Linked DNA regions of Sus scrofa. The protein of the gene in region 1 purifies or fractionates together with the protein of each later gene. This does not show direct contact. Links are inferred from orthologs where the notes say so. Each region holds a gene or a part of one and is shown on either strand. Other genes may lie near its edges.

Evidence for each region.
Region 2: the proteins of FGF11 (region 1) and SIRT1 purify together in Homo sapiens (affinity purification with mass spectrometry; 3 studies listed by BioGRID and IntAct, with this or other methods). This does not show direct contact. The link is inferred for Sus scrofa from reciprocal best matches to the Homo sapiens genes FGF11 and SIRT1.

The regions. Positions count from the first base shown.
Region 1 is NC_010454.4:52,745,085-52,747,608, forward strand, and holds part of FGF11 (fibroblast growth factor 11), read left to right. Parts: intron 1-241; coding exon 242-352; intron 353-571; coding exon 572-675; intron 676-1,295; coding exon 1,296-1,494; intron 1,495-1,788; coding exon 1,789-1,859; 3' UTR 1,860-2,524.
Region 2 is NC_010456.5:71,111,556-71,115,208, forward strand, and holds part of SIRT1 (NAD-dependent protein deacetylase sirtuin-1), read left to right. Parts: intron 1-264; coding exon 265-412; intron 413-1,398; coding exon 1,399-1,478; intron 1,479-2,742; coding exon 2,743-2,929; intron 2,930-3,653. UniProt on the Homo sapiens protein: NAD-dependent protein deacetylase that links transcriptional regulation directly to intracellular energetics and participates in the coordination of several separated cellular functions such as cell cycle, response to DNA damage, metabolism, apoptosis and autophagy.

The DNA of each region.
Region 1 (2,524 bases):
TACGTTAAACTGAAAGCTGGTGGTGAGAGGAAGCCAAAGGGACCCACACCCTAGCTTCCTCTGGAGTCAAAAGAGGAGAGAGAGGGAGGAGAGAGAGCTTGCTTGGCGAGTCAGCGAGCTGGGGCCCTGGGACCCTCTTCCTTCCCTCTGTGCTTTCTCGCTCTCCTCCGATCCCGCCAAGTGTAGGCATCTTTCTGGGAACAGAGATGTCATGTTCCAAGATGCATGTCTCTCCCTCCAGAGCCTCAGCTCAAAGGCATCGTCACCAAACTGTTCTGCCGCCAGGGGTTCTACCTCCAGGCGAATCCCGACGGGAGCATCCAGGGCACCCCAGAGGACACCAGCTCTTTCAGTAAGAAGGGAAGCCGGCTGCTGGGCGGGATGGGGGAGTGCGGGCCTGGCGATGCCAAATCCTATGCCTGCTTCAGGTTCTGTTCTTTTTAGTCCGGCTCTTCCCCCCCCTTCCCCCCCCCCCCCGCCCCAGGGGAGGAAGTGGAACTGGACCCGGAAGCGGGGCTCAGAGGGGGGCTGGGGGCCCCTAGGTACTGATGCCCACTCTCTCCACCCTCAGCCCACTTCAACTTGATCCCCGTGGGGCTCCGTGTGGTCACCATTCAGAGTGCCAAGCTGGGTCACTACATGGCCATGAATGCTGAGGGGCTTCTCTACAGCTCGGTGAGACAAGGAGGCTGAGTGGCCTGGGGTTTGGGGACCGTCCTAGCTACCGCCTTCTCAACGCCAGATACTTTGCAGCTCAGAGTTTCCACTCCCTCCAGCTCTTGCTGACGCCCTGTCCTCACTGCCTCCACCCGGGCATCTCCTCCAGGGTCCTTCCGGTTGGTTCCTTTTCTTGAACAGCTCCCCCGATACCCCCAGGCTCTTTGAATGTCCAACTCTGTTGACCTTTCAGGACCCCCGTGTCCCAACCTGCCTCCCCTCGACCTGGTTCTTCCTTCCCCAGAGGCATTCTGATTATTGGGGAGGAATTCAGGAATGCCTCCAAGTAGGAATTCCCTCCAGGTCCTCTGGCTGGAGAGAGGCTGGGAGTAGAAGAGAGACACACTCTCTTCTGATTCCAGGCCCCCAGAAGTCTAGAGTTCCCAGCCATCCGGGGCGGACCAGGCTCTCCCTTGTCTGCCCTTCCTCCCAGTTCCTGCATGGACTCAGCAGTCGGCCCTCCCAGCCTGACATGTACCAACTATATCCTGGCTTGTTCTTCCCAGGGCTCCTTCTGTGCAGTGATGTGTCTTTGTCTCTCTGTCCGTGTGTGCCTTTCTGGGTCTTTGTCTCCTCAGCCACATTTCACAGCTGAGTGTCGCTTTAAGGAGTGCGTCTTTGAGAATTACTATGTCCTGTACGCCTCTGCTCTCTACCGCCAGCGCCGTTCTGGCCGGGCCTGGTACCTGGGCCTGGACAAAGAGGGCCGAGTCATGAAAGGCAATCGAGTCAAGAAGACCAAGGCAGCCGCCCACTTTGTGCCCAAGCTCCTGGAAGGTGAGTACGGACCCTGCAGGAAGAGGTGGGCCACATGGGAGGGCATTGACCTTGACATGGACGTGCAGTGACACCCCCTCCCCCCACCCCCCCGCTGCAGTTCAGGGGCTGTACGTGTTTGAAGAGGACACCTGTTAGGACACATCAAGTCAGGAAGGCTTTGGCCTTTGGGGGTTTGGGGAGCTGTCTGGTGTGGGCTGGGGTTCCCAGAGGATGAGTATAGGGGAAGGGAGCCCTTTCAGAGGTCTCTCAGCACCTAACTCTCCTTCCTGCTCCTCTCTCTCCCCTTCACAGTGGCCATGTACCGGGAGCCTTCTCTCCACAGTGTCCCTGAGACCTCCCCTTCCAGTCCCCCTGCCCCCTGAAATGTAGTCCCTGGACTGGAGGCTCCCTGCACTCACACCGAGCCAGCCAGCCACCACCCCAGCCCTGCTCCTGGCCCTGCTCTCACCCCTGCTGCCACACTCATGCCCTCAGCAGCCAGGTCCCACCAGGTGCTCTAATCTGAGGGAGCCCAGGGGCTGGCTCTGACTTCCGGAGCCGCCAAGACTCTTAGATCCTGGGATCTGGGAGGGGGCTCAGAGAGGGGATTGTCTGAAAATGGTCCTGGCTGATCCGTTCTTTCCTCCCACACCCACACCATCCAAAGCCTTCCCCCAAGATGGCACTGGGGGTTCCCAAACTGACAGAACCAGGGCATAAATCCTCCCCACTATGGGCTTGGCCACTTCCTGGAGCCCTTTGCCCGTTCCATTGCTACTGAGCCATAGATTTTTAGGTCCACTGGAGCTCAGGATTCCTTTCCTTCTTGCCCTACTCCACCTTCTGCCTTGTTCTGGACCGGTTCTGGAATATTCAGGCTCCCCAGCCAGGGCCATTTCTGCACTCAGGCTCTGTGCTGGAACACAGGCATGCTGCCAGGCTCTGTTCTGGATCCATCATGCTTCTATCCTTGACCCAGATGGACCCCTGGTTTCCAAGTAGAGAGAGGCTGGATTTAAGCCCTGTCCAGCTGTTGGCCTTGGCCTGC
Region 2 (3,653 bases), on another chromosome or scaffold:
TGTATTTCTTCTGACTTTATTAAAATATCTATTAACATTTGTAAGAGATGTTTATGGGTTGACTTTATCCTTTTCAAGAGGCCATGTTCACTAATTGCTGAGTTTTATACATATTACAGCAAGTCTTTTTGTAAGTGTGTGTTGCATCCATCTAGATGCTTTGAGATGGTCATGTATTGTCTTTAAATTTGCATTGGTAGCTTTTTTTTGTTAAACCAAAACATGTGATATCTGTTAAGATTTTCTGCTCTTTGCATTATCTAGGAAATATATCCTGGACAGTTCCAGCCATCTCTCTGTCACAAATTCATAGCCTTGTCAGATAAGGAAGGAAAACTGCTTCGCAACTATACTCAGAACATAGATACACTGGAACAGGTTGCAGGAATCCAGAGGATAATCCAGTGTCATGGTTAGTAAACTTCAGAATTGCTTTCTCTGTTAGTTGTTTATAGGAAAAATTAGGGTTAGAAAGTAGGCTGCCATCCAGGAGTGGAGGTGAAATTAAGGAAAGTAGAGGGCAAAAATATGAAACCAGAAGTATTGATTGGCCTTGACACTTAATTGTCAAGATATTAATGTGCTTTTGGATTTCAAGATGCAGCAGTTTCATACACTAAATTCTTTTAAATAGCCTTTATGGATTACAGAAGGAATTTTAGATATGAATAGAAAAAAAATGACTTGGTGGGGGCTGTGGAGGCTGCACCTGTGGCTGTGGAAGTTCCTGGGCCAGGAACTTAACCTCAGTTGAGGCGACATCACATCTGTTAAGGTTAACCTCTGTGTCAAGAGTTGCAACTGTCCAACATGACGTCTTTACGAAACCCAAGGAACTGCTGGGTAGTTCAGATTTTTAGGATTCAGAAATTGGAAGATTTTAAATAGATCATTTTGTTAAGTATGTAAACTGTTTCCAAAACACAACTGTTAAATTAATACAATTGTTATCTTCCAAATCTGCAGGAGTTGGTATCTTATTTATTTTTTTTGTCTTTTTAGGGTCGCACTCATGGCATATGGAGGTTCCCAGGCTAGAGGTCTAATTGGGAACCAGCCTACACCAGAGCCACAGCAACGTGGGATCCAAGCCACATCTGCAACCTACACCACAGCTCATGGCAACGCCGGATCCTTTACCCACTGAGCGAGGCCAGGGATTGAACCTGCAACCTCACGGTTCCTAGTCGGATTTGTTTCTGCTGCACCACAATGGGAACTCAGTATATTTTATTAAAAAGAGTAGCTTTAGGAAGCATTATTACATCGATGTCTCTTCTGTGAAGTCTCAACATTTCTAAATTCTTTAGCTTTTCTGGTATTAAACTTTATGTTATAACCTTTATTTAAGAAATGAGAAAATTCCTTTAATAAAGCAAAGATGTTTGTTGTTTTTAGGTTCCTTTGCAACAGCATCTTGCCTGATTTGTAAATATAAAGTTGACTGTGAAGCTGTACGAGGAGATATTTTTAATCAGGTAATTATCACCCATATTTTAGGAATCATGAATGTCTCTTTTGCCTCCAGATCTTTTTTTTTTTTTTTTTTTTTTTTTTTTTTTTTTTCCCTGAAAGTATTGATGTGGTACAGAAACATCCAGGAAGATGTTGTTAGTTACTATTGGGGATTCTAGTGAAATACACAAAAAAACCTTTTAATACCTGTGTTGAACACATTGTTCCATAGTGTCTCTCAAAATGATGAAATTGGCTAATATATAAGCCTAGAATAAAAATTTAGATAAGTGAGCTGTTACATATTACATTTTTCTCCTTACTGTCCTTTTTTCATGTCTGTCAGATTTAGAACCTTAAATTAGTTGTGGTAATCTTTTAAAACATTAAAAAGTATTTTGGCTCACTGCCAAAAAAAATTTGAGGAAAATATAGCAAAGAATAAAAACCATCAAGACATTAAAATTTATGTCTTAGCTTATTTCTTAAGCTAGCTGCATATATAATCATATAATTACAAGGGTAGCATATTAAAATGGAGTCATTTTACAGACTTGTTTTTTTGTTTTTTTATTGTTTTTTTGCCATTTCTTGGGCTGCTCCCGCAGCATATGGAGGTTCCCAGGCTAGGAGTCTAATTGGAGCTGTAGCTACCCGCCTACACCAGAGCCACAGCAATGCGGGATCCGAGCCACGTCTGCAACCTACGCCACAGCTCACGGCAATGCCAGCTCACTGAGCAAGGGCAGGGATCGAACCCGCAACCTCACGGTTCCTAGTTGGATTCGTTAACCACTGCGCCACAACGGGAACTCCACTTTACACACTTATTTTGTAAAAGATTAAATCTAGAGTTCCCTGGTGGCCTAGTGGTCAAGGATCAGCATTGTCACTGCTGTGGCATTGATTTGTTCTCTGGCCTGGGAGCTTCAGCATCATGCTCCAGGTGCTTCCAAAAAAAAAAAAAAGATTCATGTTGTATGTACGTATACATACATATACATGCTACTTTTTCTTCTTTATATGAGTTGACTCTTGAATATCAAATGTAGGTCTACACAGATAATTAGGATAGCAGCATACATAGATAATAGCAAAATGGCATTTCATTGTATGCTAATAAATGTGTCATTGATAGTATCCAGTTTTCCCTGTTGTTTATCCACAGCTTTTCTGTCATCTTTGATAATTTCGAAATGCATTCTTGGGAAGTCTGGAAATGTTGACTCTTTCTAACTTGGGCTTGCCCTTCTCTTTCCCACCTCAATCAAAATCTGGAACATGCAGGTGGTTCCTCGATGTCCTAGGTGCCCAGCTGATGAACCACTTGCTATCATGAAACCAGAGATTGTCTTTTTTGGTGAAAATTTACCAGAGCAGTTTCATAGAGCCATGAAGTATGACAAAGATGAAGTTGATCTTCTCATTGTTATTGGGTCTTCCCTGAAAGTAAGACCAGTAGCACTAATTCCAAGTAAGTTGATGATTTTTCAGAGAACCATTTATATATATATTTTCATGGGTTGTAGGTGTGTGTAGTAGACCCCAGTGATCTTACTGTTTCTTGGTAAAGAGCCAGGCTTTGACATTCTTGTTCGTGAAGATTGGTTAATCTGACATTCAATGGGGGGAAGAAGGCTTTCAAAACAGAATAATAAAGGGACAGAGTTTAATCCCCCCCCCCCCCCAGTCTTCTTTTGGGCTTCACTAGCAGCATGTGGAAGTTCCCAGGCTAGGGGTCGAATCAGTAGCTGCCAGCCTGTAGCACACCACAGCAACTCGGGATCTGAGCCATGTCTGCAACCTACACCACAGCTCACAGCAACACCTGATCCCGGACTTACTGAGCAAGGCCAAGGATCAACCTGCATCCTCATGGATACTAGTCAGATTGGTTTCTGCTTTGCCATGACGGGAACTCCTCAACTTAAACTTTTCAATGGAATGTGTTTTTAACGTGGCAGGAGTTAGTGTCAAATAAATTTATATACACTTTTGAAACAGGTTAAAAATGTGTATTTTTAGTCTTAATTTGAATTTAGCTATTGATCTTTCAAATTTGATTGATTTTTGGTCCAGTAAGTTCAAATGTGTAGCTTCATACATTTGTAATGTACTCATGTAAGATAGAATGTTGGAACTCAAAGTGATTGGTTTTGGTAAGAAGATGAGTCCTTGTCATAATCATGATATGTGCA